Linked DNA regions of Sus scrofa. The protein of the gene in region 7 interacts with the protein of the main gene of each other region in a pairwise test. Links are inferred from orthologs where the notes say so. Each region holds a gene or a part of one and is shown on either strand. Other genes may lie near its edges. The genes, in order: BICD1, KANSL1, TFIP11, FBXO41, RABGAP1, XPNPEP1 and DISC1.

Region 1 (3,500 bases), on a different chromosome or scaffold from region 7:
GTGGGGCATAGCTACTCTCTTGTTCCATCGATTCAGCACTTCAAACTAATTATTACATTCTGATCTGGCTCTGGCTATAGTTTGTTTTATTCCTCCACTGACCAGGAATCTGAACCCTCATCCTGACAGTTCTAGACTCTCAGAAACATTAAGGGATAAACGAAAGTGTTGCCTAGCACGGCCCATCAGTAGAATGAGGTCACCTGTTTGTTGGCCTTCAGCACTGCTCTCAGTGTGGCGATCTGCTCCCGTTTTGTGCTCAGCAGGGACTTGAGCTTGAGGATCTCTTCCATTAGGGCTTCCTTGTCTTTATCGATCATGGGGGCTAGCTCCCGTGCCGCTGCTCTTTGACGAGACAGTTGCAAGGACCGGTCCACAGCTTTCTGCAGATGTTTGATTTGGTCCCGGATTATGGCATTAAGGTTGTAGATATTCATTGGCTCTTTGCGGATGTCACTTGTGTCCAACACTGGAGATGATGGTGGGGCAGTAATAACAGGAGAGATGGTGGGGGTCTTGGTTGGGCTTGGTTCTTTGCTGGCCTCTGGGTTTTCCTTTGGAACTGGTTCAGGTGAGGTCCTTGTTTCTACTGGGGATGACACACCCCGCCTGGCTAACCGTGGAGACAAAAGTCCCCTGGGGTCATCGGGCCCTTTCAGGCTGCCACTACGGGTGACTCTACTTTGCCTGTAATAGTCCAGCATGACCCTGTTAGGCGTTTCATTATTACACAGACATACATGGTGGTAAAGCTGAGCTAGCTCTTCACTAAATGTCACCAACTCATCCTGGGCTGTATTAAGGGTATTGTGATTTTCATTGGCTATGCTGGTCATCTTTTGCAACTCCTTCTCCATGTGAGCCATCTTCTCTCCGCTCTCCTTGGTGGTCTTCTCAAGGCTTGTAACCTGCTCATCATACGTTTGAATCTTACTCTCATACTTGGCCTTCTCTTCGGTATAGTTTTCTACAGATTTATTATATTTCTCCTTTAAGGCCTTAATTTCAGCTTTCAAATCGATCACCTCAGTTACTGCTACCCTGTATTTGCACTCAAGGATCTCTAAGCCATTGATGTCCACCTCATAGTCGTGAGCCTCCTCCCCTGAGTCCCGGCCCTTCTCCCCATCCAGTTCCTTGAGCTCCTTGCTGCTCTGCAGGCCCCTCATGGCATTAACGTGCTCTGTGAGCCGATGCACCCGTTCGTGCTGCTCTGTCAGCGCCCCCTTGGTGTGTTCCAGCTGTGTCTGTGACTCCTGGAGATTGGCCAGAAGAATGGCCTTTTCCCGCTCTACCTGCAAAGGCAAAAGAAAGTCTCTGAATGATTTCAATGCAATGCCAGTGATGAACTTGACCCATTCACATTTGGACATGCATACACTGAAAAAGTGCAGCAGAGTCAATGTTCCCATTCCTACAAATTGAATCGAAGTATGTTTTCTTACTTCTGCAGTTCTGGTAAGTCAATCAATCAAAAGTACATCATTCCAAAAGAATTATGCTCTGCATATTTACCCATCCAAATTCTTATGTGTTATACACACACTCTCATGAAACTTGAATGTTACTCAAACAATCTTATGTATTTTTTTAATCTTTTAACATCCTTCAGAAAACATAACATGACTTCAAGAGATAGTACTTGGCTTTGTCCTTATTTTGAAAGCGTTAGAGAACATCAGAAAAGTGACTGTTTCAAGGTGCCTATGAATTGTCCTTTCCTTCTCAGAGCCCAACCCTAAGTCAAATTTAAAACTTAAGGCTTTACCTTACTAAATAATACTGAGAACCTTAACTATCCCCTAAAAAATAAGCATTTAACCCCAAAACAGACATGCACTAAATTTGATAGCTTTTAATACAAAAGTCAGAAAATATAAAGTTTTAGGGCTAAAAGAACAACTTGTAAACCATTTCAATTCCTTCAGTTCAAAATAGGAATTTTAAAAGTTAGCAATTAATTTAAATAACTTGGCAGTTATTGTACAGGTAGTAAGTATTATTGTATACTGAAAAATATTCAAGTCTTAACATAAAATGCTGTCTCATTAAATACAAGTATATAAGAAATTGTAAACTGAGACTTTTTTTTTCTTTTTATGGCCACCCCTGTGGCATATGGAAGTTCCTGGGCTAAGGGTGGAATCAGAGCTACAGCTGCAGGCCTATGCCACTGCCACAGTAACGCTGGATTTTTAGCCCACTGAGTGAGGCCAGGGCTCAAACCCACATCCTCAGGGACACTATGTTAGGTTCTTAACCTGCTGAACTACAATGGGAACTCCACCTGAGAAATTTTTAAACCATTTTCTGTCTCTGCATATAAGTAGTTACTATTATGATTTAAAGAGTTTCTACATGCTTATAATGTAACAATGTTTTTCAATAATTAAATAATATTGTTTACATTCTTTATTTTCTCTTGTTTTTTTAAATAAACCACGAGACCTACTTTAAAAATAACAGATTGATGTTGAATGTCGTTACATCTAAAGGAAGTTGTCAAGCTGAACTTTCAAGCTTTCCAGGATTATATATTTTTTTCTTTTTTCTTTTTTTGTCTTTTTGCCATTTCTAGGGCTGCTCCCACGGCACATGGAGGTTCCCAGGCTAGGGGTCTAATATGAGCTGTAGCCACCAGCCTACACCAGAGCCACAGCAACGTGGGATCTGAGCCGCGTCTGCGACCTACACCACAGCTCATGGCAACGCCGGATCCTTAACCCACTGAGCAAGGCCAGGGATTGAACCTGCAACCTCATGGTTCCTAACTCCTTTCCTGGATTATATGTTATATCCCTCCAAATTCTTCTAATTCCTAGGATGCAAGTAAAAATAAATATCAAAAATTAAAATGTAATTAATATTTTAACCAGCACATGACTTTAAGAGATCTGTATCTATTTATAAATTTATATTTATTTTTATGATTCTTTATGGTATTTGATATCCTTCAGGTAATTATTACGTACATTCCTCACTTGGCCAAATTCTAATATGCGTGAATTTCAGGGACCATAGTTTAGTTAAAACACCAGTCCTCTCCAAACAAAGCTCAAATTTCAATGATCAGTATATTAACCATGGGCAATGTGCAAAGTACAAACTTTGCTGCTTCAATCTACAAAATCACCGTGTAAAGACATCATGACCAGTGATCAGTCACATCATTCAAAGTTTATCAGTTATTGGTCACTGTGGATCTGTTAGTTCACTCACAGACAGCAAAGTATGTACTTGTGGCTACAGAAACCAAACATTCCCAAAAAAATAGTATCACATTGAGTTCTCATCGTGGCGCAGTGGTATGAATCTGACTAGGAACCATGAGGTTTCGGATTTGATCCCTAGCTTTGCTCATTGGGTTAAGGATCTGGTGTTGCTGTGGTGTAGGTTGCAGACGTGGCTCACATGCTGTGTTCCTATGGCTGGGGTTTAGGCTGGCAGCTGTAGCTCCAATTGGACCCCTAGCCTGGGAACCTCCATATGCTGTATGTGCG
Region 2 (3,500 bases), on a different chromosome or scaffold from region 7:
GGCAAGTCTCCGTTTCCCTGCCAACAAAATGGGAATCTTTTATACCACCTACATGTCAAAGGGCATTACAGGACTGAATGAAGTAACGCATCTAAAATAACTTAGCACTGACACAATAAGCACTATAGTAGGAGCCTTTGGCTGTTACGATGAGGACTGCTATATAAAGGACCCTCTTAACGGGCACAAAGCAGCAACAGGTATATGTGCTCAAGGAGGCATAAGAACATGAACATGCGTCTAGAACGGTCGTGCGAACAGCTTACAGGGTGGAGTGTGGTGCTGCAAAAGCAGATGGAGGTCAGACAGCTTGCCATCTGGGTGTCCTACATGTCCGTGTGGCCTGCTGAACCTGTGAGGCTGTTCTGTACACCTCAACGCATGGGCTCCGTGTGCCCCTTCCCCTCCAGGCGCCCTAACACACCAGTGTAGCACCCCCCAGGACAGTAAAAACACAGAAAACAAGGGTCTCCAAGGCCCACAGGCATCTCTCTTGCATCCCTCCTCTTGTGTTTACTTCTTGGACCAATACAGTTACAGCCATGGTATCACTGAGTTCTTTGTGAAATACAGACCCACAGATCTTGAAGAGCCATAGATCCCTTTAAGAGTTTGGATTCCCTTTGTGGCTCAGTGGTTAATGAACCCAACTAGGATCTGTGAGGATGCAGATTTGATTCCTGGCCTCGCTCAGTGGGTTAAGGACCCAATGCCCCAAGCTGCATTGTAGGCTGCAGACACGGCTCAGATCTGGTGTTGCTGTGGCTGTGGTGTAGGCTAGTGGCTACAGCTCCAATTTGACCCCTAGCCTAGGAACCTCCATATACCCTAAAAAGCCAAGGAAAAAAAAAAAAGTTTGTCTTTACAGCAAGCTTAGCTCAGATTCATCCCTACTATGAAAAAACAACCCAAGGAAAACTACATAACAGAAGACCAAATAGCATGACTTTGACTTAAAAATGACAAATGTCATGATGAGTTGAGTCCCTATAATTGCCTTGGCTCTGACAACCCCTTCTCCACACTGTCCTCCAGACCCACTTGAAAGAAGTGTCACCACAGAGGGGCTGTCCGGCCAACTCCCCACAGGTACTTACAGACGTGCTGGCTGTAACCTGTGGGCTAGAGCTGGTGGGTGCAGAAGTGTCTGATGAGGCGGAGAGCTGTCGCACCAAGGGACTGTGTGGTGGATGGTGGGTGGCCGCCAAGTAGCTCGAACTGCCCATGTCCGTGTGATGCTTCAACACTGCAGAAGTCAACAGAAAAGAGGAATGAATATGTGGCTACCTTGACCAGCTCGTCTTCCAGCACAAGCAAGGAATGCCAGCAATACACAGAAAGGCAAAAATGCTTTCTAAGCCTAGAGGATAAAAAGACGAAGCAAACTGGTTGGCAGGAGGTGGGGGGTGGAGCAGAGGTTGCTGCAGCAGTGAGAGCAGTGACCCACACTCAGAGGCAGCAGGGCCTTCTACTCTGCCTTTCTAGAGAGTGCAGGACAAAGCTAGGGACAATGACAAGAAGCCCAGGCTGCCCCGGAAAGCCGAGCAGGTGCAAATGCAGGCAGAGGTGCCGGGCCTGGCCCTACCTTCACTTCTCTCAGATGAATGGTCTCGCAATCTCATTTTGCTGTGGTTTGGGTCATGCACTGGTGGCGGTGGGTTGAGCAAGCGCTCTGCTTTTGGCGCTGTCACTCGATCCACCATAGGCACAGCCCCCACATCGTCTAAGTGCTGCCTGTGGGTCCTGTCAGGCCGGGTTTGGTGATGGGACAGCTCTGAAGAGGGGAACAGAAAAAGAGCTGTGAAGTATCTTTTCTCATTCTTTTCTTATTTGAGTTCCGAGCTCCTGAGTTCTCTCTAGGCCAGTAATAGACAAACCAAGGGCAGCACAACAATCCTCTGGGACTTAAGCTTCCAGCAAATAACACAATGGCCAGGATAGGCCAGGGAGCCCACAGGGCCCTCAACCAGAGAAAAATGCAACACCAGACTAAGAAGAGAGCCTGCCCAATGGACCCAACTTCATGTCTCCACTGGCTGTTCACTGAGCCCCAAGACACATGGTGTCTGGAATGATTTTCCAAGTCCATCTGAGAGCATCCAAGACAAGTAGAAAAAGACGACTGTGAGCTGAATTTACACAAGTCAATTGCCTCTCCCAACCCCAACACAGTGCCATTGCCAAGGCCACATCAATAACCGGAGACCATAAAAGGAACAGAACTGTAATTGGAGGACTCTCTGCATCCCTGCAACTTACTCGCTGTTGTTAGGAAGGAGTTGACCAACTTGTGCCTGTCTTTACGAGTTGGATCTGGCAGACTGCCTGGCATGGGTGCTCTGTGCTTAAGTGAAAACTTTTTTGGAGGTTTGATTTTGTCAAAAGGCTTGTTCTGCCACTGAGATTTCAGCATGCTCTGGAAGTGCAGGCTTGTGGGAATATCTGCAAGGAACAGAACACCACAGGTTAGTCCAGACCCCAGGCTCTGAGGCATGTTCACAGTAACCCCAGCTCTCCAGTGAGCAAGACCCTCACCACATCCTTTTATTTGCCCGGTGGCAGGGTAACCAAGCAGGACAAGTGCTATCACGTGGAAGACCTGTTTATAGGAACTTTACTGAAAGTCACTCTTATTCATAGGCAAGTCGCTGTTGCCTTTTATTCTCAAGTTCCAAATAAAAACAAAGTCTAAAACCTTTTGTTAGATGATGGATTTTTTTTTCTTTGTTGGTATGTTCTAACTGTTAACTTTACCGTTTTGAAATACTGACATACATCCTGTTCTTATTCTTCAAGAAACAAACATTTCAAACCTACTTCTATCAATGTAAAGCTAATCAGGACACATTCATTCAATGGCTATGTTCTGTCTACTATTTCATTAGGTACTGTGCTGGGTACTAAACCTTCCCCTAAACAAGAACTACACCTTCTTCCCCTCCTTCCTCCAGACCTCCACCACATCCCACCTGCAGTACCTAAGTTTGTGAGCTCATCAGTTAATATTCAGTATCACAAATTAGTCTTCTAGACTTTTTTCTTTTTTGCCACACCTGCAGCATGCAGAAGTTCCCTGGCCAAGGATCAAACCCAAGCCACAGCAGTGACAATGCTGAATCCTGAACCACCAGGCCACCAGGGGAGCTCCTCTTTTAGGCTTAATTATACTCTTTTTGAGGGTCATTACTGTTTCTTTCATCTTTTCATTTTGTTAGTTTCCTTTTTTATTTTCCTGAGACTGTGGCACTGAGTAATTTTTTATTTTTTTCATTTTTAGGGCCACACCTGTGGCATATGGAAGCTCCCAGGCTAGGGGTCAAATCCGAGCTATAGCTGCTGGCCTACACCAGAGCCACAGCAACATGGGATCCGAGCTGCACCTGCGACCTACACCACAGCTCACGGAAACACCATATCCTTAACCCACTGAGCAAGGCCAGGGATCGAACCTGCGTCCTCATGGATGCTAGTCAGATTTGTTTCTGCTGAGCCACGAAGGG
Region 3 (3,500 bases), about 15 Mb from region 7:
TTTTTAATTTTAAAATAACATGAAACATACAAAACCCACAAAGGCACCCAAGGAGATGAGCTAATTTCAATGTCTGAAGAAGACTGAGGAGATGTGATCATGTCTATACAGTAACAGAAGTACCGCCACCACTTTAGAGTATATAAGTTAGCATCACCTGGGGAAAGATAACAAGCATGAGCCCTCGGGCCCAGCCAGATCTCTGAGGCAAAACCTCCAGCTGTATCTTAAATATCTGCATTTCCTACCAGGTCCCCAAATAACCTGATACACAACACCTTGACCTTTGAGAACCCCACTCCAGACTTTGGGTTCCATGACACACACAATCTCCTACGACAAACTACAAGAGATACCTGTCACCACAGTTCTCTGGCTACTTGGGACAGTGAGGGAGAACGCAGAGACTGCATGGACAGAACAGAGGCTAAAAGTCTAATGTTAAGTTCAAGGCTGAGGGCCCACTCCTGGTCACAGTGAGTGAGAGCAACCTTCCTATTCTCTAACCTGGTGACTGTACTTCTAGGAATCTATCATTTTAAAAAGTCTAAAACAGGAGTTCCCATCTTGGCGCAGCAGAAATGAATGTGACTAGGAACTATGAGGTTGCAGGTTCAATCCCTGGCCTCGCTCAATGGGTTAAGGGTCCAGCGTTGCTGTGAGCTGTGGTGTAGGTTGCAGACGCGGCTCGATCTGGTGTTGCTGTGGCTCTGGCGTAGGCCAGCTGTTACAGCTCCAATTAGATCCCTAGCCTGGGAACTTCCGTATGCCGTGGGTGCGGTCCTAAAAAGACAAAAGACCAAAACAAAAAACCCCACAAAGATAAGGCTAACCTGCTCTCAACAAAACCACAAAAGTTAAAGATGAAGCAACAGAATACCACGAACATCACTGAATTCACGGACAGCAAGCTGCAGAGCTGGAGTGCTGGATTTAGCACTGTAGTGTAGTGAAGAGCACCTGGCACAGGGTAGGAACAACAATGAGCCTAAATGGGAGTGCAGGAAATGGGCAGAGGCTACTGCCACGCAAGAAAGCAGGACACACAAGAAAGCCTGCCCAGAAGACCCACAGGAACCTTATGAGCAAGTGTTGGGTGACTGATGCTGCTGTGGTTAACTGTGTGTGTGTCTTGCAAGCCTCCATCCTGGACCAGGTGTCCATGGGCCCCCCATACCTTGACCTGAGAAATCTCTTTCTGGGGAGCAGAGAGCTTCTTGCTAATTCTGCCCTTGGCTTTTAACTCTTCCACTGTCTTGTAAGAGTATTTGGGCTTCTTCTTGCTTCCGCTGGGGTCTTTCCTCCACTGGCTCAGCTCCTTCTGAAATTCCTGAATCAAGAATATAACATAGTCCATCACAACAAGAAAGGGCCACTTTTTCCCGCAAGTGGGGACACTGAGGCTTTCAGAACACCATGCTAAGCACCGTCCCTCCATAACACTAAGACCATCCAAAGACACTGCTTGATGCCCACTCCCTGCCTTACAAATACTGAGGCTCAGACCCCTTCCCCACATAGCCAACCTACTTTCTTCTGAGTACTTCCTGGCACAACTGCTCTTTCTAACCACACCGTGGTTACTTTTTTACTGCTCCCTGTCCACCAGGCTCCACGCCTGGTCACGGCAGGACACCAGCCTTCAGCAGTGTCTGGCACCTGCTGTGCAAGCGACCTCTAAACACTGGCCGAGTGAACAAATGAGCAAACAACAGTCCCAAGAGGCAGAGACAGAATCCAGCCCATCTCCTGACTCACCTCCTCAGCTTCTTCCTCAGAGTCAACCACGGGGAAGTCCTGCAGGGACTGGGTGGTGCGCTCTGAGCCATACGCCCCCACCGCGCCTTTCCCCTTTCTCTGCTTGGCTTCAATTGGGTTAATGATACCTGGCAAGTTGCAGCAAAAGACAGACTTCAGATCACAGCAGTTCTTGTGAGTGAGCCACTCAGGGAGACCACACTCCTGGTCCTCACACACAGTAACATGCTACCCAGGAAGGAAACATGCTTCTGCCCTCACGACACCGTTTGGCTCCTGTGTGGCCAGAAGCTTCTGAGCGTGTGTGCTGCCACAAAACAGTGTGCTGATATTGTTTGTATCCTAAATACAGACTTCCATTTCTACTTGGACTTGTTGGTTTTTTTTTAGTGGACAGGAATATTTTATAACTGGGATCTCAGGCAAATTAGATTCTATACTCTGCTCATTTGGAAGCCCATTAATTCAGATATTATATTGATTCTGACTGAAGTAAGGTGAAGCTGCCATTTAATATGAAACTCCACCTATTTTACTTAGGAGTTCATATCTCCTATGAGCTATAACAAGTTTAAGCCTGGAAAATAAGTATTTTTCTTGTAAAAGTTTACAAACAGGACTGCATTTCAGTGAAGAACTGCCACACCCCAGACTTCCTACCAGGCCCCTTCCAGCTAGTACTGTTGAAATCCCAATTAGCACACTTCCCTCACTCCCATGCCATTGCCACTCAAGTCCATGGATTCTTCATACGGCTGATGTTTTCAACCCACAATCCATATCTAACTTTATAATACCTAGGGGCTGAATCTGAATTACAGAGAATACTACTGATGACATCCCACTGGTGAGTGTTGTAAAACAAAAGGCAACACCTGATGTTTTACTGATATTCCTGAAGGACAGGTAACTGGCTTTTTGCAAAACTAAAAAATAGTTACCTGTCCTGCCCCCGCATGAGCAAGAGTCCAAACTCATATGCCTTTAGGGTCCAGGAACATTAATATGAACAGGGAAAGTGGGCTGGAGTAAAAGGGGAGTGTGGAGGCAGCTTCCAGGAGAAGGCCTTGGGTGCTGACTGGGACAGCAAGGACTCAGCTAAACCAGTCACTGCCAGGCAACTCTAGAATGGAAGTGAAACTGTCTGCTTTTTAAATATTGGCAACCAGTTTGATTTTTTAGAAACACCGGGCAGGCTAGAAAGAAGCCTGTTCTCAGCCTGTCAGCCTGATTTAAACCCTAACCTCTCCCTCCTGCCGAAACAAGTATTTTATGTAACTTGAGTTCTGATAAAGCATGAAGCATAGAGCACAGCATCTGTGCTGGCAGAACAGGCTGCAGGGTCCCAGCCCTCCGAACAGTGAAAAAGCAGAAAAGAGGAGGCCACTGCCCTCCCTGCTCTTCCCACCTCTGCCTGACAGCAAGTGCAAGACTGTGGGGTGGGACTGCCACACCTTGTGCATTCTTCCCAAGGCCCCTTCCAGGGACATAGCCCATCTTCTGAAGCAGCTTCTGTCCAATTCCTTTTGTGTGTCTTTCCCAGCTGCCAAAATCCATGAACGACTTGGTTCCTCCTGCAAAACCTTTCTGACTGGGTTTAAAGTTACCACCCTGAAAAGGAGAAAAATCAAAGTTTAGTTAATAGAAAAAGAAGGAAAACGTAATAAAGCAAGCTTAGCTGATGGGAGCATGACCTGGCAGTCACAGAGCATTATGAAAAATATCTCACCAATCAAACCTAC
Region 4 (2,914 bases), on a different chromosome or scaffold from region 7:
TGTTGAATGACTGAGTGAGAAAGTGTGGGCATGAGTGGCTCAGTGTCAGCAGCGTGGAGGATGAGCCAGCACAGAGACTGGGTTATAATCAGATAACTGTTGATGGTGGTCGGAAGTGCAGATTGAAGTTATTCAGGAATCAGATTCTGCAGGTCTTGGCAGGAGGTGAGGGTGGAGGGGTCATGGATGATCCCAGGTTTCTGACTTGAGTAGTTGGGTGGTTGTTGGGCCCTTGCTTCGCAGGCCGGCCCCGAAAGAGGAGCAGGCTTGGGGGACCCTGCAGCCAGTGGCTTCCCTGACAGCCCTCCCTCGACCCTGTTTTCCAGCCAGCAGCCCACGCGCTTCAGTAACCGCTGCCTGCAGATGATCGGTCGCTGTTGGCCCCACCTCCGGGCCCTGGGGGTCGGGGGTGCTGGCTGTGGGGTGCAGGGCCTGGCATCACTCGGTGAGTCTTCTTTGGGACCGGGGTCTGGGGTGATGGGAGGCAGGCATAGATGCAACACTGAAATCGCAGCCGGGCTCGGGGTTGCAGGCCGGGTGGCGGCGGTAGCCCCGCGCTGGGCAGGAGGTGAGCTGGGGTGTTTGTCAGCAGGACCTCCCCTCCTTTCCCTCTTCCTAGCGAGAAACTGCATGCGGCTGCAGGTCCTGGAGCTGGACCACGTGTCAGAGATCACCCAGGAGGTGGCGGCGGAAGTCTGCCGGGAAGGCCTGAAGGGACTGGAGATGTTGGTGCTCACGGCCACCCCTGTCACCCCCAAGGCCCTGCTGCATTTCAACAGTGAGCGATGTCGGGCACCCTCTGCTCTTTGACCCCACCCTCCACCTTCCCCCCCTTGCCCCGCTGAACCCAGGGCAGCATGGGTCCGCTCCCCGTGCCTGGCACACAACTGTCTCTCAGAGGGTTCTGACTTAGTAAAAGGAGAGGAACCAGCCCCATTGCCCAGGTCAGACGCCGGCCCCCACCTTACCCACCTTTTCCCAGGCATTTGCCGGAACCTCAAGTCCATTGTGGTCCAGATTGGGATTGCCGATTATTTCAAAGAACCCAGCAGTCCTGAGGCCCAGAAGCTGTTTGAGGACATGGTGACAAAACTCCAGGTGAGCCGTTGGCTATGAGGCCGTCCAAGACCCCAAGTGGCATCCATAGGCTGGGGTTGGTGACTCGGGTGTTTGAAGGGAGGGCTTCACCTGTCTGGCCCCGAGGGGAACTAATACAGGTTTGGTCTGCAGGCCCTGAGACGGAGGCCCGGCTTCTCTAAGATCCTGCACGTCAAAGTGGAAGGCGGCTGCTAACCCGGGTTGGGGGCGGCAGGGCCCCTGCCAGCCCCACGCCAGGGCGCTCTCTTTGGACCTCCAGAGGGACCCTGATTTGGACTTGACCTTTGGAGGCCTAGTGATATCCTCCCCGGCCTCCAGGGAGGGGTTGTCAGTCTCCTGTCCTCCTGCTGGGACAGTGGAGCAACAGGCCTGACCCTGAGCACAGCCCCTCCTGGGCAGGAGCTCAGACAGAAGCTGTCCCCTGACTCCCCCTACCCCCACCCCCAGCTGGAGCAGCCTTCTGGGCACAGCCAGAGAAGAGCTGGGTCACCACCAGCACTCGGTGTCATCGCTCTGAAGATCTGCAATAACCAACCACCCAGGGCTCCTCAGCTGCTCAGTTGGCTGGGGCAGGCCTCTCCTCTCGGAGGTCCGGCCTCCTGGTCGGGGGCCTCTGCTGGGCCCCAGGCCAGAGGGTTGCTCCACCCGGCAGCTCAGACTTGCAAGGAGGGCTCTTCTCTCCCCCAGCCCTGTCCCAGCCCACCGTGGGGCTCCCCCTTCAGGCAGCCCTCAGGGCTCTGGGTCTGCATTCTCCAGGGTTAAGAGACAGGCAGAGGGGTCTGAGAAGGTGGTCCGCCCAGAGTGGGAGGTGGGGGCGCAGTGAGTGAGTGGGAGTGGGCTTGAGGGACAAAACATTCATCCAGGACTTTTCCCCAGGACATCAAGACCACCCCTCCCAAGAGGGGGCTGTTGCCAGGTTGAGAACACTTAGTGTTTTTATTGCTGTAGAAAAAAGACCCCTCCCAGCTGCCAGGTACCCCACGACACACCAGAACTAAATTCAGAGCTAAAAGGTGCATGTTTCTATATCTTCCACCAGCCCTGAGCCTCTGGAGGGGCGAGGTCCCAGCTGGGAACTGCTGTCAGCAATGAGAAACAGATCATGTCCTCAAGGAATGTACTTCTAACCCAGGTGCTTGGGCAGGAATCTGATGGCCTTTGGGTCCCCAAGGCTCTGGGGAAGGGAGTCACTAGGCTGCCCTCTGTGCAAGGACCTGGAGGAGCCCAGAAGAGGCGTGGTTTGGTTTGGTTCTCATCTGGCTAGCTTGCTTGCAGTTGTGGCCTTGGTAGGGAGCCAGACCCATGGGGCCAAGAATGAGGATGAGCCCCCCTCGTCGGACTTGCTCCCTCCAGTCTCTGCTGGCCCCACGGGCTGAGGGCTGTGTTGGGCATCTTCTGCGTGGGGCAGTGCTGGGACCTGAGCAAGACCATTGGCTTAATACGCAAATGGGGGCCTTCATTGACCCTTGCATGGTTCCCAAAGGACCAGGTCCTGGCACTATGGCTTTAAAGACTCAGGTGTCCCCAGTTCCTCCTCTCAGGACTCCCACAGTGATACAAAAGCTGTGGGTCCTGCCAACCTTCATTTGGAAAGTTCTTTCAAACATTAACCTAGATCCATCTTAGGGGTTCCTTCTCTCCTGTTACAGGATGGGCTCTCAGCCCTGATTATTAGGCCCTTGGTCCTGGCTGGGGCTGGGCTCCTCTAGTTTCTCAGTCTTTTCCAGGAACCCAACTCTCTGCCACAACCTGGCATGGACATCAAGACCTGCCCTGGGGTTCCCTCCAACGAGGCCTCCAGAGCTGGGACCCCATG
Region 5 (4,204 bases), on a different chromosome or scaffold from region 7:
TAATATATACTATTTAATGTCAAGCATGAACTTAAAAATAAGTTTAAGGCTTTATTTTTACTATTTTGTGATCCACAGCAAAAGAGACCTGGGAGGAAAGTCAGGCCTTACAAAACTCTATTAGTTCTGATGATTATCTCAAAGTACTATGGTTAATTTGACAAAAGGGAAACTAACAGGTTAAATTCTATAAACTAAAGTGTTCATGACTTGCAAAATGCCATATTTGGTCAGAGAGTCTTTGCACATGACAAGAAACAAGGCGGCTTAAGGGTCAACAAGAGTGGTTCTAAGTTTAAGGGTCTATCCAGCATTGTTTTGACTCACAAGTTTTCCAAAGAATAAGGATCTCAGGATCAACACAAAACTGGAGTTGCAGGGGCAGACCAGGTAATCATTTTATGCAAAAAAGAAACAGCTGTTAAAACTATGTTTTATTATGTACATCCACAGACAGCTAAGTCCTTAGCCTTGGATTTTCTCGCTTTAGAATCTAACTATGGAAAACCAACAAAACAATACAAAGCACCCAAATGTCACGCTAAACTCTGCTTGGGTTAATTTAGCACTGTGTTAACATTTGAGTTCTATCTCCAAAAAAGATTAATAAGAGTTTTATACTCATTTATTTCATATGCTTGAAAAGTGTAATATCTGATTATATGAAAAACTACAAAGACAATACTCAAGCTGTATTATGTTAGAACCTCAGCACATCAGTATCTATAAAGACAACAGTTACAACGATTTAAGCTAATTATTTTCTGAAGCCTGTACTCAAAGGTAACTTGTTAAAACAATCAAAGTGAAATTGTGAGACCTTCAAAATAGGCTTCATCTGAGCTAGGAAACACTTCAGCTGGCAACATGCTCAATAAAAGACAATGACTTCTTTAGAAGAACCTGGGCTGTAAAGTCTAGCTGGAAATATACTCATAGAAAATGACTTCTTAAAACAATCTGGGGTGTAAAGTTGAGATGTTTATAGGAAATCATGTCCCCTCATGTAGATAATGTACATAGTACACTTCTTTCAATAGGCAGTAGAAAAAATAGGAAACAGGTGCCTACACTTTTACACAGTCCCACTAAACTACCTTTTAATCCAGATTAAGCACCTGTAAAGTGCTAATACAACATTATGCCAAAAAATGCCGAAATGCATACAGTTGGCAGGTTACTTACCCAAACATACACCTTAATAACAATGACCTGACTTAACTGTAAACTGAGTTATAAAACTAAAATAAAAAGAAAGTGTACGACATAGCAATCGTTCGATTTTAATTACAAATTTGAGTTGATAATCTGTATTAAAACTATATGTGAATCTTAAATGTTACCAATAAATACAAGCCAATCATGGATTCAAATTTTATTTATGCAAATTGAGGTCTACAAAAGAAGATCATAACGAACACCCGATTCATTTTCAGTTTTTATAAATAAACTCGATTTAAAAGCTTTAAATACATATTAAAACACCACCCTATACACGCTAGAATTAAGACCAAGAGGTCCTTCATTAGGAAAAACAAAACGTATGTGCACTCCCTTGGCACTTAAGTTTTTCAACTTTTCAGACTTCAATTTTATGTGACCAACTCAGTTCAAGTTACTCTCCATTGCTTTTTTTCCTTCCTAAATAAACAAAGCAGCTGGAAACAGACACACACAACTTACTACTCCAGTCACATGTACGTGAATACAGGTGTTTATTGAATGAAAATATCAAGTGAATTGAGAAACCCTGCCCCCGACAGTTTTTCTTTCACTGACAGCAAACAACAAAAGTTCCCAAATTCAAGTTGGAACATGATTTTAAACTAACGGAGCACTTGTAGCGTGAGCACTAATAACATGATCACTTAACACGGTCGGCTAGGACAGTTGTTTTCAAGAAAAAGGAATCCTCGAGTAACCGTAAGTATGGTGATGTCTGTAAAAGCAGGTGCAGACAATAACAGCGTGAGAGCAAGAACACCAAAGTACTACCAGGCAATGGACAGCGAACTCCTGGAAATCTGTAGTTAATCACCCCCAGGCTCAACACTTAAAACCCGGAAAAGTGTTGGGAATCAAAACTCAGAAATGAGGTATTGTGGGCAGATACTTGAAGTATCTGGGGAGATGGGATACCAGGGACACTTCCATTGCAGGTGCAGAAAACAAGACAGCAAGGCCAACACGAGAAGGCAGACCGACATTAGAATAAAGCAAGTCTTTCAAATTAGGCGCAGCCCAGGAAGCTAGTCTGAGGCCGAAGCCAGCCCAAGTCACAGATACAGGCCCAGCGGGCAACGGGGAGAAACTGAGGCGGAGGGAGCAGCCGAATTCCCAAACAGGACCTGTCCCAAAACACGAAAGTCAACAGACAAACCGGCTTTGCTGGGGGGGCGAGAGGCATGGCCACAAGTGCAGGACGGGGAAGACAGACACCCACCCAGACAGGGGGAACCGGTTTGGGCAGGGGCTCCGGAGCGTTGTCGCTTGCGCATGCGTCCTCCCCCCTACACCAGGGCTCCCCCTCCCCCCAATCACGGCTGCTCTCAGAACCCGGTTCGTCGAGGAGCTGAGCGCAGTCTCGCCTGCCCTGCCCCTCGGGATGAGAACACAGCTTGGCTCCCCGCAAGGGCTGTCGGAGGACACCCCCGGGCTTAGGGGATGGGAGGGTGGGAGGAGGAGGAGGGGAAACGCGGCCCTACCCGACCCGCCGTCTCCTCCTCCGCCGCCCGCCGTTCGCCGTCCCGGAGGCTCCGCCGCCTGGGCCTCCCCAGCCGCCCTGCCCCCGCCCTCCCCGCCCCCTACTCACGTGAGAGCGGCTCCTTCCGCCCTCCGCCCCGCCTCCTGCTCTGTTTCATAGGTCTGCTGCAAAACCGTGTGGCCCAATTGGCCCAACAGCGGGCGGCGGGGGCGTACTTCCTTTCCTCGAAGCCCCACCTGGACTTTTAGCCCGCCTCTAGAGACTGCGCCTGCGCGGAGTTTGCACTCTACGAGCTGGACTCAGGTGGGAGGTGGACTCTGCCATGTTCTTGCGCTTGGACCGGCGGGGGTTCTTTCTACATCACCGATTGGAAGCAGGACTGGCAAGGGGAACAGGCTGGGTAGCGTCTGTTGCGTCTGAGAGGGTGTACAACCCCCAAACGACTGGTGCTGGGGCAAGGAATATCCTACTCACCTTTAACGTTTAAGTGCTGTTTCAAAGTGGCCCTTAATGATACTTAATTCACCTGGCCTTTATTGACCGCGCAAAAACGTGCCAAGGATTGTGATGGGTCCTTTTATAGATCGCTTGGGTTTATCACAAACATTACGAATGACGATTTTTGTCATTTTTAGAGTCCAGCTTAAGTAACAAAACTTGTGACTTTCAACTCGGGAGGGCTACTGGCTACGACAGCTGCTTGAGATATGAGACATAAAAAAAGAACAGAAATGAACAAGGTTGGAATTCCCGTGGCGGCTCAGCGGAAAGAATCTGCAATCTGAGTAGTATCCATTAGGATGCAGGTCAGTCCCTGGCCTCGCTCAGTGGGTTAAGGATTTAGCTTTTCGGTGAGCTGTGGTATAGGTTGCAGACAGGGCTTAGATCTGGTGTGGCTGTAGCTGTGGCTGTGGCAAAGGCTGGCAGCTGTAGCTCTCATTCGACCCCTAGCTTGGGAACCTTCAAATGCCACGGGTGAGGCCCTAAAAAGAAAAAAGGAAAAAAAAAAAAGGAACAAGGCTGTTTCAGGGTGGTACTCAAAGATGGGGCTGGGATTTTATTTAAAATCATTAAAGGAGTTCCTTGTGGCTCATGGGGGTTAGGAATCCTGCGTGGTCACTGCTGTGGCATGGGTTCAGCCCCTATCATGGGAACTTCCACATGCCCTGGGCTGCCAAAAAAACAAAACCATTCAAAAGAGATATACAGAGCAAGGGCAATAGAATGAAGTTTAAAGTGCCTGATAAGAATAAATTTACAACGTAGTTGGAAACAAAAGTAAGGAATAAAGGTGCTAATTAAGTCTTGACAATTTATGAAATTATTCCTCAGCCTCTCCTTCACTCTTCTTTCTTTATTCAAAGCATATGCTCTTTTCCTGGTAAATGAGTCATCTGCACCATTTTCCTGTGGCTATTGCATCCACATCAACCAGAAAAAAATCAAAAAGAGCTGTGCTCTGTTGCATCCTCTTTGTGACTTCTCTATTATAATTAGATT
Region 6 (3,500 bases), about 61 Mb from region 7:
GCCACCTGTGAAGGGGGCAGGCATCTGTCTTATTCAACCAACACACGGCAGTGTCCTGCACACAGTAGGTACTCATGTGTCAGTTGAACAGAAGCCTTATCAGCCATATATGTTCTCCCCTCTTGTACAAGCAAAAGGTCAGAGCCCTGTTCAGTTAAACAAAATCCAAAATACACTGATGGAAATGTTTAGGTGACCCTGGACCACCCACTGGACCCATCCCCCCAAACTGCAACACCCTCAGGTGAGGGCGTCACAAGGAAAGTGAGCTGGCGGCTGCCTCCACAACCAAACACTGCTTTGAAGATCAGCTCGGGAACGCTGTTTAAAACTTGGCTCAGAGTCTGGGCTGTAATGCTTTCTTCCCAGGACCCCTCTGGGCAACGGGCCCACATTCCAGACATCCCCCATCCACCTCTCCTCTTCCATTTCAACAGCAAGGCTCCCTCCCCTGCAGCCCCACCTCCCAGGCCTCTCCCTCCACACTTCTCACTGTTCCAGAAATCCACACTTGCATCTCCCACAGAACTTGCTCCTTACTCACCAATGTCACACAGGCCCAAGAAACCCACCCACCCCCCAAAGCCTTTAGAGTACAAGGTAGATAGAGGGTGGGGGGGGCCTGGAAAGGTAAACCTACAAATGCTAGGTTTAATGCTAGACAGAAGAAAAGGAAATGGAAGCTAGAAACCTCTAGTCTCTGTTTCCAGTATCAGACATGTCTTAAAGGGGCAGTGAGCAACTGAGTGGTAGAAAAGACATCTCAGTAGCACCCAGAAGAGCTCTGCAAAAATAAACTATGCCAAAGTAGGGGAAATAGGTGACAAGAGTAGAAACAAACTGAACTGCTTGCATCAAATGTCTCAGGGGCTTGGACAGGTCAAAATCCCCCCATCAGCTCAAGCTCCACTTGGATTCAGAAAACCTTCACTCAAGTGTAGGGGCTGAAGGTGAAGGCAGGGCATGGCGTTCCGACCTGTGTAATCCAGGCCCAGGGTGAGGAGGGGCTTGCACGGACGCTCAGGGCGGTCTGTCCAGATCTTGTCCACAAGGTTCTCCTTGACAGGAACAAGGTGGTGGCCAGCGCTTCTCAGAACCTTGGCCATCTTCTTCCAGTAATCTGAGGAGAAGCACACGTGGTCTAGCTAAGAGCGGAACATACTTTACAGACAGCAGCACTTTGAGAGCCTGGCACCTTCTGAAAGGCAATATTCCTGTGGCCCTTTGCTAACCCTTCTCCTCACCTTGACCTCTGTTGTGACATCAATTCATGCTGAGCCCTAAATGTTCCACGTTCCACAAGCAAACAAGGAGGATGGAGAGGCATCTAGAACCCACTTCCTCACCCAAGCTGAAAGGGTCTATGCTTACTCACCTGTAGGAATGATCAATGGGTCCACACCAACCCTGGATCCTTCAGGAAGTACACTCACCAGCCAGTCTTCCTGAGTTGGTGTGTCCTTCAGACCTACAGAGGGAAGAACTAATAAGAAACAATTCCTGGGGGCCCAAGCTCATTGTCCCATCTAGCAGGATGCAATTCACCAACATCATGATAGTTGGTGAATTAATAAAAACAAACTAAAGAAGGTGCTTTTACTAAAGAGAATTGACAGCACTTGGAAAATCTAAACTTCCCTTAATCCTGGAAAGTAATGAGAAGTGTAAGACACTATATAAGGAAAGCATAAGGTAAGACGGTATATAAGGGTGAGACAGAAGGAAAAAAAAAAAGCAGGATTTTCATTAGACCCCCAGTGAAAGGCAACCCGAGAATCACTGCAACGTAGGTATGTGCTGTCATCGTGAAGATCACCTCATCAGCCTCCAGTCACTTTTCCACTACTGGTCATGTGATGAGAGCTTGGGTGGTGATATGGTGAAGGCTGGGGCTGGGAGCCTCCCTGACATCCCACAGCAGGTAAGTGGAATACACACCACAGCAGCCTCCCCTTATCTGGAGGGCAGAGTGGCAGAGAAAAGGCCCTGGGTCTGACTGGAGGGCTGAGCACACGTCTTGGCAGCAGAGAAATCTATCCAAAGATTAAAGATTATAAGAGGAACACACAGAAGCCCAACATCGTGTCCTTAACGTGGTTCCCTGGGCCTCCCACTACCAAGAGCAAACAGCCCTCTCGGTTTCTGCAACACTAGTCACAGGACATCAATCAGCTCTGCAAAAGGAACTGAAGTCATTTTTGATATCCCAGTTTTTCTTTAATCCATCCCAATATCTTGTATATTTGGGATGTATACTTTTTTCATCAGATTTTTGCTAAATAACATTTGGTAAAACATTAAGAGTGAAAGTTCACATATTCTGAAACAGTACTGATTTTTTACCATTTTCCCTGAGTACTGATAATCATATAACCACAGAAAGGAAGTTCAAAGGTTTATAAAGAAATGAGCTCATGAATTTCAGTTCTCAAATACTCAGCTGCACTGAGCTGTTATCTTGCTATTTGATTTGGCCCTATATTTTTTCAAACTGCTGAACAAGCCACTTCTTAATGAAGTTTCTTTAATGCCCCTGGTAGAACTTTCACAGGATGAAGTCATGTTATCTACTAGCAGACAGATGTTTGGCAAAACCCTGGGGGTGAATCACTCCCCAACCACACCCACCAGAAACTCCCCATGCAGGAGAGACGCTGAGGAGGTAGGCTTAGGGAAGAGTCAGCACAGGGAAGAAACTAGAGAGGGGCTGGAAGGGAGGAGCCATCCCCAGGATTGTTCTAAGGAACAGGCAGACAGTATCTGCTCCTCTGACACTCTGACCCCAAAGTGCTATGCATCTAACAGCTGGAGTTACAGCCCCAAGGAGAGATGCCCACACTCCAGGGGCACGCTAAATGATCCACGGGGGTGCAAGTAGAAAGGATCAGAACTCCCATCTGTTCTTTTCCTAAAAAAATAAGCAACTAATTTTTGCTTGTATTTGAAAATACAGATGGTCACTAGCACATCCATATAACTCTTATAAAGTAAATATATATACACGCAGACGCATGAGCCATCAACAGAGGCATGTAATTAAAAAGTTTAAAGGTGAGGTAACCAATCCATTTATAACAGCTATACAACCCTGAACATCTGTGTGTGTGTGTGTGTGTGTGTGTGTGTGTGTGTGTGTGTGTGGAGAGAGACAGAGAGTGAAAGAGAGAGAAAGAACTGGGGTAACATCACCTATAACTTCAACGTTTCTATATTTTTTAAAAGATTTTTGAGAGCGTTCCCTTCGTGGCTCAGCAATTAACGAATCTGACTAGCATCTGTGAGGACGCAGGTTCGATCCCTGGCCTCGCTCAGTGGGTTAAGGATCTGGTGTTGCCATGAGTTGTGGTGTAGGGCACAGATGCAGCTCGGATCCTATGTTGCTATGGCATAGGCCGGTGGCTACAGCTCCAATTTGACCCCTAGCCAGGGAACCTCCATATGCTGCGGGTGTGACCCTAAAAGGCAAATTAAAAAAAAAAAAAAAGATCTTTGAGAAACAG
Region 7 (3,500 bases):
GGAGCTGTAGCCACCAGCCTATGCCAGAGCCACAGCAACACGGGATCCGAGCCGCATCTGCAACCTACACCACAGCTCACGGCAACGCCGGATCCTTAACCCACTGAGCAAGGGCAGGGATCAAACCTGCAACCTCATGGTTCCTAGTCGGATTCGTTAACCACTGCGCCACGACGGGAAATCCCCGCCAAGATTTTTTTTAAAGGATCTCAGAAATAACGTGTTGGAAATTGTCATTTAGAGTCCGAAAAGCATCATGGTACAAACCTCCACCTAGTGCCTGTATCCTTGTATGTGTGCCTCTCAGCCCCTCTCCTTAGGCCTCAGACAGACAACCACAGAAATCTGTCAGTTAGATATCTATGGCCCATCTCTTTTTTTTCTTTCTTTGTTTTTTCATGGCCACACCTGCAGCATATGGAAGTTCCCAGGCTAAGGACTGAATGAGAGTGGCAGCTGCCAGCCTACACCACAGCCACACCAGATTTGAACCACATCTGTGACCTACACTACAGCTTGTGGCAACGCTGGATCCTTACCCCACTGAGCGAGGCCAAGAATCAAACTCACATCCTCATAGACACTATGTCAGGTCTTTGACCCACAGAGCCACAACAGAACTCCCTGTGGCCCATCTTAACAAGCTAAATTATTTCACTGAAAACAAACAGTAATCAAGCACCAGGCAGTAGGCCAGGCATCATGCATCCAAAAATATTTAAGAGGAGTTCCCGTCATGGCTCAGCAGTTAATGAACCCGACTAGTATCCAAGAGGATGCTGGTTCAATCCCTGGCCTCCCTCAGTGGGTTAAGAATCCGGCATTTCCATGAGCTGTGGTGTAGGTCACAGACACGGCTTAGATCCCACGTTGCTGTTGCTGTGGTGTAGGCCAGCAACTGTAGCTCCGATTCAATCCCTAGCCCAGGAAACTCCATATGCCATGAGTGAGGCCCTAAAAAGACAAAAAAAAAAAAAAAAAAGTCTGAGTCAAGTGTAGAACTTGGACCCACAAGCAAATGATTATTAATGTGATGAGCACTGAATGGGGCACATCCAAAGGGCTGAGGGACAGGATGGAAGGAGAGGGTCATCGGGGGTGGGGGGGGGGGTAGGAGAGGTCTCACACAGAAGTGGCTCTGCCACCTCCCTGGCTGATAAATCCCACAGCCAGGCTGAGACAGGGCAAAAGGGCCGGGGCCAAGAACATCGGATATGCAGTAGAGAGCAAAGGAGATCCACTGCTGGGAAGGAACATGAGCCTCACATTTTCACGTACTCCTACCAAATCCTAATGAGACTCGACTTCCCTGCTTACGCATGCATATCCCCACATGCACACGTGCACACATGCACACAGCCCAGATGGAAAACACAGTCTCTGAACAGGATGAGCCAATGGGTTGCCACAAAGCCTCTCTGCGCGGGTTTCTCTGGGGACTTCTCAGGGTAGAACAGCCCTGTCTACCCCCAGCTGTACCCCCTCAGATGAGTGGACAGCAAGTCATGATGCTGGAACTTGCTTCTATACCGCCTGTCCCAATTTCCAAAGCACTCACATTCCAGCTTGAGCCACAGAACAATCTTGTGTGATGTCAGCATCTCTAAATAAGGAAACTGAGGGCCTGAGAAGTTTAAGGACCAGAAACAAAATCAGTAGTCCCTGCTGCTGAGGATGCCATGAGCACTGCGCATGCAGAAGCAGCTCCAGATCGCCCCCAGTTTGGGGCATCATCATCTTTATATCCACACAGCGACTGACTCCACCTCCCCGGCTCCCTGTCCCCCTTCTCCTGTTTAAAACAGAGCAAGGCTGAGCTAACCCTGCATCACCCAGACCAGAAGCTGCAGAGGAGCCTGAAGCCAACAGAGAGCGAAGCAAGCATCTAAGGGACAGAGGATGAGAACGAGACCAGATTAGAGTTCCAACAGAAGGAGGAGAGATGCAAGTGTAGCAACATTTTTCCATGGCCAGTCACCACAGGGGCTTCCAGTGGGGACTGGGGCAACCCCAGAACCGCCGTTTCCTGCGGCCCCCCCCCTCCTCAGTGAGACCATCCCAGCCCACAGGCTCGGGACACACCCACCTCCAGCCGCCTCCGCTGGCCCTGCAGGCAGTGCAGCAGCGCAGGCTCACAAGTGCGGAGCAGTGGGTCCCAGAGGTCAGCATCCTGAGGGTGGCTGCCCTCGGGTCTCGAGGGATCCAGGGAGCAGAAGGAGGCAGCGTCCATGTCCAGCAAAGGAAGCATCTCGCACTCCAGTCTGGGGCTGTCCCCCGCCATCTGGGCAGCATCTGCCAGGTCCTGAGGAGCCTTGAGGGGTGAGGCGGGAGAGAGAAGCTGAGGGTGTTCATGGGGCCCGTCCACACCAGCAGCCTTGGCCACTGTCTCCTCGGGGCTCTGATGAGAAGCCTCAGCCTCTCTGGGTGGCGGACAGCCTTCTGCTTCTCCACGTTCCCCGGCAGAGACCAGGGAGAGGCGAATGAAGCTGAAGTTGGAGGTGAAGACATCCTGAGAGCCAGGAGGGGTGGGGTCGACCTTGGGGCCACTTCCGAGGCTGCAGTTGGTGCCACTTCCCTCCTCTGGGGATAGAGAGCCTCTGGCCCAGGTGTCCAGGGCTCCTTTCCCACAGGCTGCTTCCCGACTCGGGCTCGGAGCCTCCCAACTGTCCATGGATGGTGGCGCCCCCTGGCATATGTTGTCCCCGGAGCCACACGACCTAGTCAGCCTGCTGGGCAGGGCGCGGCCACCTCTGGGCTGAATCCCTGAGAGACCCAGGGTTCCTCTCCCTGTTGTCAGAGCCAGGCCTCGGGGGCCCGTGGAGGTCCAAGCAGAGGCTGCTGTGCTCCAGGGAATGAGGGTCCCGGTCGAGGGACCCTGCCCCTGGCCTCCAGGGTCACGGCCACATGGTCCTGTCCTGGGTTCAGAGTGCTGGGTCTCCTCACTGCATGCCCCTCCCTGGGCCCGGAGCAGACTGCCCACTGCTGGCGAGAAGAACCTGATCCGGGGCCCAGCTGCACTTCTCATGTAGCCTGGCCTCCGTGCCAGCCGCCTCCTCCGAAAAGACGCTGCAGGTGGTGAGCCATCTTGGCGGCCTGGGAGGAAAGAGGACACGCACCATCAGCACACACATCTCCCCAGCTCAGCTGCAGCTGCATTTGGAGAACGTCCCCGGGTTGGGGGCAACCCTCGGTGCATCTGCCAAAGAGATGCTGGTGCAATGGCCATGGGGCCAAGCTGCTACCCAAACCCTGATGATCCCTGGGAAGCGTCTGCCTGGGATGTGTAGAAACTGCACAGCATCCCAACCCCTCTATTTCCAGAGCAGCCAGCACTGCTGTGAGTTATACTGACAAGACTGCAAGCGCCTCAGAGACCCAACTACGGCAGCACATTCTGAGCCTCCAGCATCTTGCCTGTTGCTCTTTTAGGCACACAGAGCTTTCCCCCTGGAGCGGCATGGAAAGCAAGCACTCTGAAGCCAAACACCAGCACACTCCCA

Evidence for each region.
Region 1: the proteins of DISC1 (region 7) and BICD1 interact in a two-hybrid assay, tested with the Homo sapiens proteins (2 studies listed by BioGRID and IntAct). The link is inferred for Sus scrofa from reciprocal best matches to the Homo sapiens genes DISC1 and BICD1.
Region 2: the proteins of DISC1 (region 7) and KANSL1 interact in a two-hybrid assay, tested with the Homo sapiens proteins (2 studies listed by BioGRID and IntAct). The link is inferred for Sus scrofa from reciprocal best matches to the Homo sapiens genes DISC1 and KANSL1.
Region 3: the proteins of DISC1 (region 7) and TFIP11 interact in binary tests that used the Homo sapiens proteins (3 or more experiments, as listed by UniProt). The link is inferred for Sus scrofa from reciprocal best matches to the Homo sapiens genes DISC1 and TFIP11.
Region 4: the proteins of DISC1 (region 7) and FBXO41 interact in a two-hybrid assay, tested with the Homo sapiens proteins (2 studies listed by BioGRID and IntAct). The link is inferred for Sus scrofa from reciprocal best matches to the Homo sapiens genes DISC1 and FBXO41.
Region 5: the proteins of DISC1 (region 7) and RABGAP1 interact in a two-hybrid assay, tested with the Homo sapiens proteins (2 studies listed by BioGRID and IntAct). The link is inferred for Sus scrofa from reciprocal best matches to the Homo sapiens genes DISC1 and RABGAP1.
Region 6: the proteins of DISC1 (region 7) and XPNPEP1 interact in a two-hybrid assay, tested with the Homo sapiens proteins (2 studies listed by BioGRID and IntAct). The link is inferred for Sus scrofa from reciprocal best matches to the Homo sapiens genes DISC1 and XPNPEP1.

What each region holds. Positions count from the first base shown.
Region 1 is NC_010447.5:41,947,801-41,951,300, forward strand, and holds part of BICD1 (protein bicaudal D homolog 1), read right to left. Parts: intron 1,296-3,500; coding exon 204-1,295; intron 1-203. UniProt on the Homo sapiens protein: Regulates coat complex coatomer protein I (COPI)-independent Golgi-endoplasmic reticulum transport by recruiting the dynein-dynactin motor complex.
Region 2 is NC_010454.4:17,086,612-17,090,111, reverse strand, and holds part of KANSL1 (KAT8 regulatory NSL complex subunit 1), read right to left. Parts: intron 2,443-3,500; coding exon 2,260-2,442; intron 1,775-2,259; coding exon 1,586-1,774; intron 1,247-1,585; coding exon 1,098-1,246; intron 1-1,097. UniProt on the Homo sapiens protein: Non-catalytic component of the NSL histone acetyltransferase complex, a multiprotein complex that mediates histone H4 acetylation at 'Lys-5'- and 'Lys-8' (H4K5ac and H4K8ac) at transcription start sites and promotes transcription initiation.
Region 3 is NC_010456.5:44,102,709-44,106,208, forward strand, and holds part of TFIP11 (tuftelin-interacting protein 11), read right to left. Parts: intron 3,370-3,500; coding exon 3,213-3,369; intron 1,887-3,212; coding exon 1,759-1,886; intron 1,331-1,758; coding exon 1,178-1,330; intron 1-1,177. UniProt on the Homo sapiens protein: Involved in pre-mRNA splicing, specifically in spliceosome disassembly during late-stage splicing events. Intron turnover seems to proceed through reactions in two lariat-intron associated complexes termed Intron Large (IL) and Intron Small (IS).
Region 4 is NC_010445.4:69,520,527-69,523,440, forward strand, and holds part of FBXO41 (F-box only protein 41), read left to right. Parts: intron 1-326; coding exon 327-445; intron 446-619; coding exon 620-778; intron 779-982; coding exon 983-1,098; intron 1,099-1,230; coding exon 1,231-1,293; 3' UTR 1,294-2,914. UniProt on the Homo sapiens protein: Substrate-recognition component of the SCF (SKP1-CUL1-F-box protein)-type E3 ubiquitin ligase complex.
Region 5 is NC_010443.5:263,856,097-263,860,300, reverse strand, and holds the start of RABGAP1 (rab GTPase-activating protein 1), read right to left. Parts: upstream 2,801-4,204; 5' UTR 2,706-2,800; intron 2,649-2,705; exon of another isoform or gene 2,444-2,648; intron 1-2,443. UniProt on the Homo sapiens protein: May act as a GTPase-activating protein of RAB6A. May play a role in microtubule nucleation by centrosome. May participate in a RAB6A-mediated pathway involved in the metaphase-anaphase transition.
Region 6 is NC_010456.5:120,336,996-120,340,495, forward strand, and holds part of XPNPEP1 (xaa-Pro aminopeptidase 1), read right to left. Parts: intron 1,469-3,500; coding exon 1,376-1,468; intron 1,121-1,375; coding exon 977-1,120; intron 1-976. UniProt on the Homo sapiens protein: Metalloaminopeptidase that catalyzes the removal of a penultimate prolyl residue from the N-termini of peptides, such as Arg-Pro-Pro. Contributes to the degradation of bradykinin.
Region 7 is NC_010456.5:58,908,455-58,911,954, forward strand, and holds part of DISC1 (disrupted in schizophrenia 1 protein), read right to left. Parts: intron 3,094-3,500; 5' UTR 3,026-3,093; coding exon 2,087-3,025; intron 1-2,086. UniProt on the Homo sapiens protein: Involved in the regulation of multiple aspects of embryonic and adult neurogenesis. Required for neural progenitor proliferation in the ventrical/subventrical zone during embryonic brain development and in the adult dentate gyrus of the hippocampus.